2 linked regions of the Diceros bicornis minor genome follow. The protein of the gene in region 2 interacts with the protein of the main gene of each other region in a biochemical or structural test. Links are inferred from orthologs where the notes say so. Each region holds a gene or a part of one and is shown on either strand. Other genes may lie near its edges.

The links.
Region 1: the proteins of NHERF2 (region 2) and PTH1R interact in a test that uses a peptide from one of them, tested with the Homo sapiens proteins (2 studies listed by BioGRID and IntAct, with this or other methods). The link is inferred for Diceros bicornis minor from reciprocal best matches to the Homo sapiens genes NHERF2 and PTH1R.

What each region holds. Positions count from the first base shown.
Region 1 is NC_080741.1:48,268,848-48,276,807, reverse strand, and holds the start of PTH1R (parathyroid hormone/parathyroid hormone-related peptide receptor), read right to left. Parts: upstream 3,059-7,960; 5' UTR 2,951-3,058; coding exon of another isoform or gene 2,917-2,950; intron 2,156-2,916; exon of another isoform or gene 1,890-2,155; coding exon of another isoform or gene 1,842-1,889; coding exon 1,767-1,841; intron 1-1,766.
Region 2 is NC_080765.1:46,385,780-46,392,909, forward strand, and holds the start of NHERF2 (Na(+)/H(+) exchange regulatory cofactor NHE-RF2), read right to left. Parts: upstream 3,009-7,130; 5' UTR 2,900-3,008; coding exon 2,687-2,899; intron 181-2,686; coding exon 1-180.

The DNA.
Region 1 (7,960 bases), on a different chromosome or scaffold from region 2:
AAATAAGAAAAGAATAGACCTGGGTGCACATGTGCTCACAAATGCACACACAACTATGCTTCTGCAAGTCCTGTGCAGACCCACAGTTTCGGACACACATGAGCTCACATGTGGACTCAGACACTCACCCTCATGCAGACCCAGAAAACACAATGCCCAGAGTCCCACGGAGCTCTGCTCTGACACCCTGACGTACCCTCAGGACACCCAGGCCCATCACCCTGTCTGTCCCTCCACAGTCACATGCACACATATGTGCACACAGACCATGCTGGCTGGCTCTGCACAATGGCTATGCTCACACACCCTGGAAATGGCTCTGGGCCCTGGCATTTACCAGTGTTTGGAATGTCTCTGAACCTTGGTTTCCCCATCTACAAGCCTTTGTAAGGGGCGATGTCTCTGGCTTTGGGGAGCCAGAGTCATAAGGGCATGGGCACCAGTGAGTGGGGCGTGCTGAGGCCCACGGAGGAAAGGAGAGCCTCAGATCAGGGGATTCTTAGGCAAAAGTTTCTTTCTTGCTGTCTTTTTAGATAGGGAAACTGAGGTGTGAGGAAGGACAGCCCAAGGTTATGCAGGCATCAGACAGAGATGGAGGAATCAGGAATCGGAGGAATCGCAGAGCTCCTGCCTTCCCACCTGGGGCTCTGCCTGGGTAGGGAGCTTACAGGAGGAGGAAGCTGCCTGCCCATCTCTCTCTAGAGAAGGCAGATGCCGTTACCTGGGAGGTGGCGGGGAAAGCAGCAGGGGCCCTCAAGTCAGACACACAGGCACACAGCCTCCTCAGCAATGGGCTGGTCCCCTGGGACTGGGCTGCTGTGGGATCTGACTGACTGACTCCCCAGGAAATGGCCCCCAGACCCTGGCCCAAGATGAGGAGGCTGCTGCCCCTCTGTGTCTCCAGTTCTTGCGCTCTCCCAGTCACTCCATATTTTTCTTTGCTCTTCTTGGTCTATCTACGCCTGCCGCTCTGACGAACTCCCATCTCTACTTCTCTTTGTCTCTGTCTCTCTCTTCCCTCTGTCTAGCGTCATCTCCCATTCTGTCTCTTCTCTCTTTGGTTCCCTCTTGGCCTCTGCTCTCATGAGGGTACAGATGGGAGTCCTCCTGTCTTGCTAGGGGTCCCCTCACTCACCCAGTCCCCCTCCAGTGTGTTTCTCCTGTAGGAGTGTTTTGTGAAGTTAAACCTCCATTCCTGCTCCATGCCACACCACACCCGCCTCCCTGGGCAAACAGCTTCCACTCTGGGTAAAGCTCGGTATGAGTGCATGCATGTGTGCACGCATGTGATCTTGAGAGCTGGAGGGGGTCCCTAAATCCTACCCCCTGCCTGGGTGATTCAGACCTCCGACTCACAACCCTGCCTTCCAGACTGCAAACAAAACTTGCAGAAAACAGAGACCCCCACAGCAAAGTCTGTGGGACCCTACATGAAGGCCAAAGCCCAGTCTTCTGCTAGTTCGTCTTCCCGGGAGACTAAACCAGAGCAGTGGTGCTCACAGAAGCAGAAGCTAGGGGAACCCCAACCACAGATTTCCAGACCTGAGACCCCAAACCCAGGCTTCGGAAATAGGGAGACCTTAGGTATCTGGAACACAGAATCCAGACACCCCAGAGACAGCAGGCATCGAGGATCCTGGGTCAGAGGGGACCCCCCACCCCAAGTTCAAATTACTTGAGGAACCCAAGACTCTGCGCCCTGGACCCACCTCAGGGACCCCAGAGCAAGCCTGCAGCCTGTCCTGGAGTGCGGGCGGGGGACTTACCAGCGCGTATGCGGAGCTGAGCACCGGGCAGCAGAGCAGGAGCGCCAGGCCGGGTGCGATCCGGGCGGCCCCCATCGCCACCGCCTAGGGCCCCGTCCCTCGGGGCAGCCGCCGCCGCCGGCCCTGGTGGTGGTGGTGGTGGGGTACAGAGCTGCGTCAGGCCCGGCTGCCCCGCCCACGCCCGGGCCTAGGGGACCCCGGCGGCCCGGCGGCCCGAGGCCCCGGGGCCCGGCGCGGGGCCCATGCGCCGAGAGCTTAGCGAGCGAGCGAGCGCAAAGGAGAGAGAGAGGGAGGGAGGAAGGGAGGCAGCCGGGGGCCGGGCGGGCGGCGGGCGGGCGCCGAGCGCTGCGGAGCTGCCCGTCTGCCTCGGAGCGGAGAAATCACATCCATATGGCCGGGCCCCCCGCCCCCGGCCCGCCCCCTGCCCCCCCCCCCCCGCCGCCTTTTCTTTCTTTTTTTTTTCTTTTGGGGAACTGGGAGCTGTGGCTTCGCCCCACGCCCAGTGGGGGAGGGGTCGGGGGAGGGGTTGGGGTCGCGGTCTGCGGGGGGCGAACGGGCTGTTATTTTTAGCTCCGCGGCTAACGCAAGTGGGGGGGGGGGCGGGGCGAGGCTAGGGGCACGTTTTGAGCCGCTCGGGGTGTGCAGCTTGGGGATGCGATCCCAACTTTGCAACGACACTGAGCCCTTCGGTGATCGGGCCGCCAGCTCTCTGCCCCTCGGCCCCCTCAGATCCCCATCCCCTCCGCGGCCGCCTCCGGCACCCCCTCCCCATCCTCGGCCGGAGCCCCGACTGCGCCCGCGCTGCTGGAGCGCGCCTGCGGCCGGGACGCTCTGTCTGTCTGCCTGTCTGTCAGTCCGTCTCTAGCTCCCCTGGCCTCGGCCTCCGTTCTTCCAGCAGCCCCGAGCTCCGTTTCGGTCACTCCCTCGCTCCCTCCCTCCCCTCCTCCTTCTCTCTCTACGAAAACATTTGCAAGTTTCCAAAAAAGCCACGGAGCCGAGCGGCGCGGGGCTGGCGGCTCCACCGGGCTCCGAGGAGGCGCCGCCGACTGACACCGAGACAGACCAGCCTGCCCGCCCGGGTCAGGCCTGGGGTCACCCCCACACACCTCCAGCCTCCTCCCCTCGGCGCCGGCCCCCAACCCTGACTTACTCTGAGCGCGCCGCCGCGGCCCCCGTCTAGCCATGGATGTCGGGGACCCCCCGACAGCCTCCCCAGGACAGCGCCCCGTCCGCGGCCCCGGGGGTACCTCATGGAGCTCCCGGGATCCCTCCCTGGCCGGCCTGGCCTCCAGCGCCCCCCGCCCGGCCGCCGCTCCGAGCCGCCGCCCGCCCAGCGCGTCCCTCGCCTCGGCGTCTGCGCTCCCCTCCCCCCGCGGCCGGGCGCCGCTTCCCTCCCCCGCGCCCTCTCTGGGCCTCTCCCGCCCCCGCCCCTCTCCGTCGCCTCCGACGCGATGTGTGGAGCGGCCGAGCGGACGGAGCCCGCTGCCCCCTGCCCCGGGACATTTCTCTAGAGGCCGCGGCCCGGGGCCGCACAGCGGCAGGATGTGAGTGTGGAGGGGACGGGGCCCGGGAAGCTCTGACATCGGGGCTCGGGAACGGGGCCCGGGACGCTGCCGCTGCTTCGTTCTCTCCTCCGGGAAGGCACAGACGTTATTTTTTCTGATCGTCCGGCCCAGGCTGGTGAATGGGGGCCTTCAGCCACGAAGCAGGCCCTCTTCACGGGAGGTATCCTGCGCGCCCCCGGCCGCGGCGCTGCTCGTTCGCCCGCGGGATTCCCGCTCGGGTTGGACCGGGATCCCGGGAGAGGCTGCTCGGCCGCCCGCCCGGAGCTTGGCTCCGCCGCCGCCGCCCCGCCCCGCCCCGCCCTCGCCTGGACCCCCAGCCTCGGGAACCTCCGGAGTGGGTCGCTCGGCTGAGCCGGAGACCCACCCCCGCCCTTGCCGGGGTCTCCCTCCTCACGTCCCTCTCTCTCCCTCCCCAGCCTCTCCCCGGGTCCGGGTCTCTCCGAGTCTCGACCCATCCAGACGCCGGCCTGGCCTTTCCAGCTCCACGCCTGACTCCATCTCGGGCCTCTCAAGGCCGCTAAGACCCGGAGCTCGGCCGAGACCCCCACCATCGGGCTCCGCCTCCCTCTCCCACCCCTTCACACCCCCAAACGCTCTTGGCGGGCTCTGGTCCACTGCGGACCGTCAATTCGGGGAGGGGCGGGAGGAGTCTTTGGGGGCAGGGGCTGGATGGGGGCGGGGCTTACATACTCCCGGGCCGCCGAGGGGACGTCGGAGCGCTAAGAGGAGTGGGCCTCGGACCTCAAGCCTACCACCTCTCAGTACCAGACGGGGAAGCTAAGGTGCACGATGGGCCTGGGGACGCCTGGAGCGGAGGTTTGAGGAGGAAGCTAATATAACTGTCGGGGCCCTGCGAAATATCATCTGGGCTAAGCAGCAGCCCCTGCTCACCCACTTACCAAGTGTGTATCCTGGGCACGACGACTCTCCCACTGTCTGGGCCTCAGTTTCCTCATCTGCAAGATGGGGAGTTGACCAGCTGATTCAGAGGACACAACTTCACTGTTTTAGTGCCTCTGAAGGTGGGTGTGCAGACCCATGGGCTCTGGGGGTTCCCCAGACTCAGCTTTTAGAAATTAAGCTCCTCAAAGCCCCCAAATCTGCCCCTCATCTCTGGTATGGCCCCTCCCCTCAACGTGAATGAGTCCCCAAGCCCAAGCCCCTAAGGCCACTGGAATCCAGCTGTAGCCAACCTTCCTGGCAAGCTCACCCCTCTCCAGGCTCAAACCACCCATCTCCTAGACTATACCCACAACTGTCCTCTCCATACATTTTTATGGCCCCGCCCTCCTCCGTGCCCCATTACCCTCAAGTTTCTTGTCCTGGCGTTTAAGGAGTGTGTCGTTTGAGGCAGTTTCCTCCAAAGATGACTGTCCCCAGCAGGTACTGTCCACAAGACTCTTGGCCTTCTCCCCATGTTCACTCCCCTGCCTGCCTTTGTAGTCTCCTCTGCCAGGATCGCGCTCCTCTGCCTGGTGTAAAGGCCATCCCTCCTTCCTTGTGTCCCCATCTCCTCCATTGCTGGGGCTGTGATTTGGGGGGTGCCCCCTATGGTGTGTGGGCTCCTTGGGAACAGGGACAGAGGCCCAGGTGCCCAGAGTGGGCACCTAGAGAACACTTGTGGTTCTTCAGTGTTATATTTTGATGGTCTCCACTTTATGTCTGTTTCTAATCGATTCTATTCTAAGTTTTATGGTTTGATGACTACTGACCACGCGCCCCTCTCCCCCCACTGCGGTGATAGGAAAAGACCATTCACGGAGGGATTGGCAGAACTGAGGGGCTCATGGAGGGAGTCCTTCTCAGATCTGACACCAGAAAGCTTGAGATTGGGAAGCAAACAATATTTGTACTTAGGAGGACCAGGGTGGGCTGTGGATAGGGCTGCAGAGAGGGGTCTGATGTGCTCTGGGCCCCTAAGGGTGTTCCCTAGCCATAACTCATGTGCCTCTCCCCAGAGTCCCCTGCTAGACATTCCACCACTGCAGGTGGGGCCCCTGATCCCCTAACTCGCCCCCAGGCCTCTGGTTAAAGTGCCACCATGGGGGTGGGGGTGTCACACATTAACTGGTAGCACCCCAGTGCCTGGCAAAGCCAGCCTGCCCTTTTTGACAGAGCCCCAGGGTCAGTTTCTGGTTAGTTTCAGGTCAGTTTCAATGGGGTTTGGAAAGGCCTGATTGGGGGTGGGGAGTGGGAGTGAGTCCCAGTGGGGATTCTGGTCTCTGATCCCCAGGCTGGGGCCTAGGAGGAGGAGCCAAGGTGGTCACTGGAGCTCAGAACTGGAGCAGGGGCTGGACTTTGGTGCAGCAGCCCTAGGCTGACAGGCCTCTGCTACCACCACTGCCACCGTGAGTAGGGCTCTGGCCAAGGTACACAGACCCTGGGGCCATGGTGGGCACCAGACTCTAATAGGAAAGACAGAGGCTCAGCCCTCTGAGCTGGGCAGCCTGGCCTCACTCCCTCAGAAAACCCCTTGCCACAGCCTGAGGGCTGTCTGGGAAAACTGGCCCACAGACCCCCGACACTTTGTCCCCCAACCCTAGTCCCAAAGTCAGCCTAAACCCCAATCTCAACCCCAATCCCAGACTGAGCTTTACCCTCAGGCTGAGTCCTTATCCCAGTCTGACCTCTAACCCCTGGCTGAACCCTGACCCTGGGCTGAGCCTCCACCAAGCCTCAATCCCAGACTTCTCTCCCGTTCCAGGCCCCTCTGGAAGCTTTTCAAGGCAAGGGGCTGGTAGGGGAGGGGATGGCCAGGCCGTAAGTGAACCGAGGTGCCACTTTTACAGCCATTTCGGCTGCTCATAAACACCCCCCACCCGGATGAGTCACTGGAGGCTCCCACAGCAGCTGGTTGGGCAGCCCCTTCCCCTTGCAGCAGGAAGCCTGGCTTTCTCACCTCTCAGGAAGACGAAGGGAGGGAAGCTGGGGGCACAGGGGGCCAGGAGGCTCTGTCCCAGGTGAGGAGCACTCTCAGGGCGGCTGGGGTTGTGGGCTTCCTGTCCCTTCAGATCACATGGTCATAGGCCCCCTGCTGCGGTAACACCAGGTCTACAGACATCTCCATGCAGACGTGCCTTGTCTGCCCCACGGCGCTGCACTGGTACACACACACTAACGCGGTGGGGTACCACACAGCCTTGCCCCTCCCAGCTGCGCTCAGGTCCCCTCTGGACCCCACTCACCTGGAGCCCACAAGGCCTTCCAAGTAGGGCCTGTAGCCGCAGAGCAGATTCAGGTTGGCCGTGGGGAGGCCATGGATAGTCCTGAGCAGCTTCTGTGGGTTCAGGCCTAAGCAAAGATGTTTCTGTTTGGGACAGGAAAAGGCCTGAGTCAGAGCTTTCACTTAAAAAGAAAAATTAATTATTTTTTACCAAGCCCTGCACCAGCCCAGGACTTTGTCCCAGCCCCCTGGTAAGGGAACAGAGGCAGGTCCAAGCACACCAGTGCTCAGGTGCCCTGGGCTGGGCCCTCCTCCCCCTCCACTGGTCTGCCTGCCAGGCACCCAGGCCAGCTTAGCTCCTCAGGTGTGTGTGTGCTTCAGTGGTCCTCTCCTCGCCCTGCCAAGCCTCTCTCTGACTAACTCTCCTTCTGTCTGTTCCTGTGTCCCTGTCTGCCCATTCTGGCCTTTTCCACATCTCAGAAATTTCAGGCCACCACAAGGTATGAGCACAGCCCCTATGAGTGACTTCATTCAAGTTTTGGGCACCTGGAGAAATCAGATAGAGGCTGACGATAGTTCATACCTAGGTCACAGACTGGAAAACTGAGACCTGAGAAGGCCTGACCTCCCAGCAGTAGGTATCCAATGTCCCTCAGCCAGGAGAGATGTGGGAATCCTCATTCCACCCAGCCCTCATCTTGACCCCTGCAGCCCCACAGCCACACCATATCTGACTCCTTGTCCACTGGAACGTGGGCTCTTGGTGGGAAACCAGCCAGGAAGCCCTTTTGTGGCTGGCCCCCTAGTGCCACCCAGGCTCAGGACCTGCTTATGCAGTTACAGGTCACAGAGACGGGGGTGGTGGACAGGATGACCTCCCTCTGTGTTTCTGTGGAATGAGCTGTGGCAGAACCAGGGCTGCCCCTGGACACTGAGGGTGAAGATGTGGACAGACGGGGAGGAAGAGACCATGCAAGATCCTGGTACCTCACCCAGGGCCCCGAGACCATGGTTGGAGGCCACCCTTCCGCCTGAGCCCAGCCCGAGCTGGTTTGTGTCTGGAAGTCCCAGGCTCAGCCTGACGAGGTGTAATGATTGACGTGGCAGCTGCCGCTCAGCACATTCCAGCCGTAGCCCCCAGTGCCCAGCACGTGAGACGGCTGACCCCAAACCACCCCCAACTGCTGGGGCATGTTTCTAGGGCCCGCATCCCCAGAGGAACCTCTCCCCAGGTCTTACACACTTTACTACTACTTTCTTTTTTTGTTTTTTAAAAATTCTTATTTATTTATTTATTGAGAAAGATCAGCCCTGAGCTAACTTCTATTGCCAATCCTCCTCCTTTTTTTCCCCAAAGCCCCAGTAGCTAGTTGTATGTCATAGTTGCACATCTTTCTAGTTGCTGTATGTGGGACGCGGCCTCAGCATGGCCAGACAAGTGGTGGGTCGGTGCGTCGGGATCTGAA
Region 2 (7,130 bases):
GAGGCTGCCTGCACGTGCCCAGTCTGGCTTTGGTTCCCAGGGATCGTGGGCAGGCGGAAGCCCTCGGTGGGCCATCTCCTCGGTGCAGGTCAGCTGTCGCCGGCGGAGCTCCTCGTCCGTCTCCTTGTCTACCACCAGCAGCCGAGTCTGCCCCTCCACAGCCTTGATCCTCTGTACCACCTGGGACAGGCAGGTGGCAGGAGCAGGTCAGCGGCCAACACTCCAGACAGCACATGGACAGTGGCACCACCCAGGGCTCGCCTGGGCTTGCAGGCAGGCGGCTGGCCTACCAGGGGTGGGCGGCTGGACCGAGAGGCCCGCCGGCTCCACCCCCCACCCCCGGGCTCCAGCCGCTCCCTCCCTCCTCTCCCAGAGCTCCTGACACTGGGGCCCAGGATGCCAGGGCTGCAGGGTCGTCGCCTCAGCCCAGGGTCTTCTCCAGGAGAGACCAGGAAGCTGGGGGAGGCAGTGGTCTGGAAGTGACAAAGATGGTGCACGGCCAAGCTTCAGGTTTTCAGTGTGCGTGTGTGGGTGTGTGCGCGCGCGTCTGTGTGCAGGCGTACATCCATCTGTTTCAGGGTCTCTCTTGGTCTGGGTTGGAGGGAGAGAACTCTCTCCCTGGGTCCCAGTCTGAGTGTCTGTGCCCAATTCTGTCCTTCTCAGTGGTGGAGCAAGGAAGTCTAAACCCCTGCCTCTAGGCCTTCCACAAGGCACCTCCGTGGGCACCGACACACAACTCAGTAAGCAGGATTCAGACCCAGCAGGTGAGGCAGGGAGGGGCAGGTCCACCTGTAGGACGAGTGTGGCATTATGGACATCTGTGTGTCTCTGCAGGTGCATGTGGGTGCCATGGAGCATGCATGCCAGTGCGTGCCCTGCAGGAGAAGGGGCAGTGCCCACTGGGCTTTGGGGTAGGAAGGGCAACACCCCCACCCCAAGGCCTGGAGGACGGCAGACGGGACCCCCATCAGCTACTTGGCAGAAGTTGTCAACAGATAGGAGGGTCTAGACCAGGCCCACCTTCCCCCCACCCCCTGCCCCTCCTGTCCTTCCTCTCTCCCTGTGACCCACAGAGCCACAGGAGGACCCCAGCACCCTGCTGCATCCTGACTGTGGGACCCAGACAAGTCACCCACTATCTCCAAGCATCAGTTTCCTCATCTGCAAAATGGGAGCCGTAACTGCATCTCCTCCTTCCTGGGGCAGTGAGAGCGACCCACGTGGTCCTGTGTGTGAAGTTCCTGGAGACCAGCACCCAGAAGCCTGGGATAAGCAGGCGCTCTTGGGGCAAGGGTGACAGTGACTGCTACGCAGAGGCCAGGCACCAGCTCTGCCAGCCCCTCCCCGCGGCCTGTCAGGCCAAATCCTCTGGCCCTGACCCCTATCCTCCTTCAGCAAACAGCTTCATCCAGTTGACACTCTGGCTGGAAGACAGAAGGACCGCAAAAACAAATGGATAGACAAGGGCCCCAAGGGTAGAGTGGGAGCTCAGCTCCAGGCCCAGTGAAGAACCAGAGAAGAACTCATCTCTAGGCCCCAGGGCTGGCCACACAGGCGGGTCAGAAACTCATAGTGCTGGGGGGACACAGAGGACCCTGGAGCAGAAGGGGGGAGGGAGGCTGGACCCAAGCCAGGTGAGCCCCTGGCCAGTGGAGATGGACCCCCCTCCAGGGGTCAGAACCTGCAGAGAGGAGACCCTGCCCTCCCTCTGGCCTTCATCTCCAGCTGCAGGGGGCAGGGTCTGTGGCCAGTGACCCCTGCAGGGCCAGCAGCCTCCACAGAGAGGAATGTGCTGCCAGCAGTAGCGACTCCTACTGGGACCCAGACACCATCAGCCAGGACACACACTAGGGCACTGGCCTGCCAACATACACTGATGACTACACACAGCCGGGCCGGCAGACACACACACACACAGCCCAGCTCACACACACATCCAGGCATGCAGCTCTATCCACACTCACACATCCAGGCATGCAGACCTGTATATTGATACATACAGTCCAACACATACACAGAGCCCAGCTCTCACACACGTCCAGGCATGCAGATCTATCCACACACATCTAGGGGTGAAGACCTGTCTATTCACCCACACAGTCCAGCACACACATACACATACACACTCACTGATACACGCACACACAGGTGTGCCCTTACTGTGACACCTCCCAGGTACACACAGATAAATGTATGCACATCTGGGTGATCCCCAGAGGGACCTGCACACTCACACACATTGTCTGTGTACACACGCGCATGTCTACACACTCAAAGAAAAGCACCCAGGGTACCCACTTGCATGGAAACCCCCCTAAGGTAACCGACACCTCCACACATGGCACAGGGAGTCCAAAACAAGACTAAACTAGGGCCAAGGACCCAAGAGCCGCAGTGCGGGCCCCTCCCTGCCAGGATCTCCCCCCGCTCTCCGCGGTGCAGGGCTGAGCTTCCTGGGGGGGGAGGCTAGGAAGGAGGCCGGCGGCCGCTGCCTCCGTGGCCACGTCCCCCACCTCCCCGGGGGAGCTCACGCAGGCCCTTGTGCAACCCCCTCCCGGCCCCGGGCAGGGAGCCGAGGCCTGGAAGCAGGCGGCGCCGAGCCCGGTGGTCCTCAGCGCCCCCTGCGCGCGCGGGGCAGGGACGCGCTCCCCGGGGAGGGCCCGGCGGGCGGGGCGCGGGCACCCACCTGGTGGTGCGTCTCGCCCTCCACGTTGACGCCGTTGACCTCAACCAGGCGGTCTCCGGCGCGCAGCGCGGCCGCCTCGGCCGGGGAGCCGGGCTCCACGCGCCGGATGAACTGCCCGCGGCGGCCCTTCTCGCCGTGCAGGTGGAAGCCGTAGCCGTGCTCGCCGCGCACCAGGCAGCACAGGCGCGGCCGCAGCGGCTCCGGCGCGGCCATGGCGCCGGCTGCCCACCCGCCGGCCCCGAGCTGGCCACGGCGCTCACGCCCGCCGCCGGCAGGCAGGGGCGCGGGGACGGCGCGGAGGCGGCAGCGGCGGCGGCGCTGGAAACCCGGCGGCGGCCTCGGCGGCTCCCGCTCGGCTCCCGACGCCTCGGGCTCCGGCTCGGGCTCAGGCTGCGGCACCGCCCCCGCGCCCGCCCCTTCCCCGCCCCCTCCGCCCGGCCGCCCCCTCTGCCCCGGGCCCAAGCAGTCGTGGCCTTGCCCCTGCCTTGGCGTCCCGCTAGCCCGGGGGAGCCCGCAGGAAGTAGGGGACTGCAGGGCCAGGGGACCCCGAATCACCGGGACCCGCTGGTCTCGCCCCCACTCTGGGCAGCCTCCTTGGCGCCAGCGCCTTTGCCTCCTATTCCAGGAACTTTTATTGAGCACCTACGGTATGCGTGGCACCAGCACGGAGGCGGGCTCTTGAGGTGGGGGAGGGGGTGGAGAAAGTGTCCTCAGGCCGAGGGACCCTACACAGTGGCCAGAGGGTAAGAACAAAGGCAACAGCTCTGCTCACCTTCCTGGGAAGCCCCCTCACCACCACCACCCCCACCCCAGCTGTCTGTGTATCTGGATCCTTCCTGCGCCCGGAGCTGCCCTGGCCGGGACCAGAGTCCAGGACACTCCAGGAGGCAAAAGAGGGATTTGAAAGTGATATGGCAGCAGCCCTCCCCTATAACCTGGAGGCCAGTGACTGGGTGACTCCCCTACCCCCTTCAGGAGTGTTTGTGCCTATCTGTGCTGCATACATCCATTAAACATTCCCCCTACCATCCCCTCACTTTGCCAGGGCCCCTCGCTCGTGCCCCTGCCCATCCCAGGCCTGGTCTGTGACTACAAGGAGTGCAGGGAGGAAATGCAGTTGTCTGGCTGGGATGAGAGAGTCTTTGCTACCCTCCTCCTGACCTGGGATGAAATGTGCTGAGGAGTTCGGTGTCTGAGCTCTCAGACCCCTTCAGATCTCCCTTCCTCCACCCCAGCCCTCCCCTCCCTCTCTCCTCCCCTTCCCCTACAGCAGCCCCCACTCCCACCCCACAGCATGAGTGCCCTCTTCCCCCAATTGGACAATAATAATCACAATGCAGAATCACTTATGCTTCCTTGCGCCTGAGTGCATTTTACCTGGAACAACCATACGGGACTCAGGCCATTTTACAGATCAGGAGACTGAGATCTGGAAAGGGAAGAGACCCAGGCAAAGTTCCCCAGCTTCTCCTGGGCCCAGGGCTGTAAGATTCCAAATCCACACTCTTCACCATGGAGTTCATTCTCAGCCTCAGATACAGGAAGACAGCTGAGCTGCATGCTCACCCTCAGCCTGCCCCTCCCCAGCCCTGCCCTGCCCTACCCTGTACATACCTGGTCACCCTCACCCTGCCCCTCCCCAGCCCTGGCCCCCCACCCCCTGCACATACCTGGTCCCCGGGGGGGCAGGCACAGCCAGCCCAGACAGCTCCCCATGAGGGCAGAAGCAAGAGTCGGCTCAGGCCCCGTCCTTGCATCTCCTTCTCCCCTCTCCATGCCCTCAGCCTGGGCTCCCAGCCCCCGCCAAGCACAGGGCCCGCCTCTGGGCAGCTTCCTGGGCCACAGCCCCTTGGGTGTCCACACCCCAGCTGCTGCCCCTAAAAGCCACTTAGGCCGAAGCTGCACGGCTGCTCCCCCACCCCCAACTCCGAGTTCCTGGCTGATGCTGCCATAGGCCCCCACCTGGCTGGCCACCTCCATCTGTCTGTTTGCCTGTCCAGAGGCTGCCTGTCTGGCCTGTGGCTGGCCTCCCTGGACCCAACTTGGTGCTGCTGCCCCTGGAGACTGTGAGGATGGGTGCGGGCAGTGCGGTCCCAGCATATACCACAGCAGGTGGGGCTTAGGGGTCACCCCATAGCAACCAGGACCACCCAGAATGTGCCATGCTGTAGCTTCAGGGCCACACTGGAGTTGAGGGATGGGAGACCCCCAGGCTGGGGGGTCGAGAAGGTAGGGGCCCCTGGTCCCCTGGTCCCCTGGGTCAGAAGGCTTGGAGACCTCCTCCCCGCTCCGTAGGACAGATGCTCCTCATCAGCCTTGGGCCCTCACCACCTTCTGCAGCCCGGGACTCAGCCTGTGGGTGAAGATGGATGGGAACAGAACACCACTGGAGGGAGGGATAGCCAGGGGCATGTGGTCACAGGGGCCAGGAACACTGCATCCCAGAATAACAAAGGAGGCCCTAAAGCAGAAAAGGAGCTGAGGAAGTAGCAGGGAAGGTAACAGAGTAACAAAGGCAACATTAGAGTGACAAGGGGGCGTAACAAAGGAAGTGGATGACAGCAACAGAGTAAATAAGGGCAGCCAGGGAAGAGCTGCAGGTCACAGTTCCCAAGGGCGGACAGGAATGAGAGGGAGGGAATGGGGTCAGTATGGAGGGCCTGGGATAACAGAGGTGAAGAAAGGGGGCCCAGTAGCTCTCCTGGGCACACTCCCCCAGGCCTCTTCCTCTGGCCTTGGCCTCGGGCGTGGGGCGCTGTGATGGAGGCGAGAGGCACAGAGAAAGGGGCAAAGGCAGCAAAGCAGAGGGACAGAGGGCAAAGGCCCAGAGTGTGGGCTGAAAGGTGTTGGGGGCTGTAAGTTGCTCAGGGTCGCTGGGGAATGTGCTAGGGAGCTAGCTGATCAGTGAGGCCAGCAGCGGGCAGGAGGAGGTCGGGTCGGAAGTGGTCAGAGGTCTGGGGGATCCCCACCCTTGGCGCCCTCATCCCTGTCCTGCCACCTTGCTGCGCAAGCCTTGGGACAGAGGGATAGTGGATCTTTCGTTGCTTCCCTCCCCGGGGTTGTCGGACGGCTCACCCCGGGAGGGCTCACCCCAGGGAGGGCTTGCCCCCGTGATCCTGTTGCGGGGAGGGGGAGTTTCCTCTGACCTTTGAACCTACCTCCCTGCTGCGACGCCCCCAGGGGTGGGGCGGAGCCTGCGCCTAGGCGGGGACTCTGGGATGTGGCGGTGGGCAGAAGCCTGGTCACAGCCAGAGGAAGGACTGGGGGCCGTCTCGGGGATGGAGCCATTAGCCTGACGCCCGGGTAATGGCCCAGAGCTTCCCAGGCCGGCACCTCCTCCCTAATGGGCATTAATGGCTCCACGGGATGACCAGTCCTCACTTATGGCCTCCTCCCTCAGACTACACCAGGCCTCTCTTCAGAGCCCGAAATCGGAGCAGGCGGGACCACAGCGACGGGAAGAGATAACAAGATACCTAGAGACGAGGTGGGGAGGGGAGGGGAGGGGACGGAGGAGGGGGAGAGAGAGAGAATGCAAAGACCAGAGTGGCCCCGCCCTTGACCCGCCCCTAGCCCGCCCATCGCCGGAGGCGCGGAGCGGTGACTGTAGCCCGAAAGAGCAGCTGCGCAGCGCCACCTCCCGGCTCTGGGTGGGATGGCATCGTCCGAGGGGCTGCCCTAGGCCCCGCCCCTATGGCTCCGACTCGGTCCAGCCCTGCCTCGCCGGGTGGCGATTGCGGCGAGGCTGACGCCCTAGAGCTGCTTGCACTGCAGGGGCGTAGGGGTGCCGCGGAGGCGTAGGCAGAGAAGCCGGGCCTCTGCCGAGCCCCTAATTGGCTCTGCTCCTTCACCTTGGACCTGGCACTAACCTATCTGGACCAGGGTTCCTCCAGGCAACATGAAACCTAGCCCCTCACCAAGTGTCCCGGCACTTGTGACCAAACATTTGAGGACCACTTCGTGCCAAGCGCTGGAGAGCACCGGGGAAACATCGCTGAGACCCCTGGAAACAGGGATCTGTGTACCTTGGCCAGGGGAGGCCCAGGGCTGGGGCAGCCCAAGGAGAGGCATTGAAACTGGCCTGGGGCCCTGGAGTCCTCCTTCAGGGTGGACCAGGGAGCTGTTCTGGAATCTGCCCAGAGTTTCCTGCAGGCTGTGTGGGGAAAGGGAGGGAGCAATGAGACTGGGGGACAGGGCCCCCTGTCCCTGTGGCCTTGCCCCAGAGCATAGATTTCATCCCATCAGTGGTGGGAAGCCCTTGAGGTGCATTGGGAGTAACAAGCTCAGGACACCCATGTTTTGAAAGACTGAGTTTGGCAAGGAGCAGGGGTGGGAGTGGGCTCGGGGAGAGGAGAATGAGGGGTTTGTGACCACCTGTTCCCCCAGTGCAGATCCTGGGGGCAAAAAACTGAGTGGGATCAGGGTAAATAAATTCAGGGGTCCA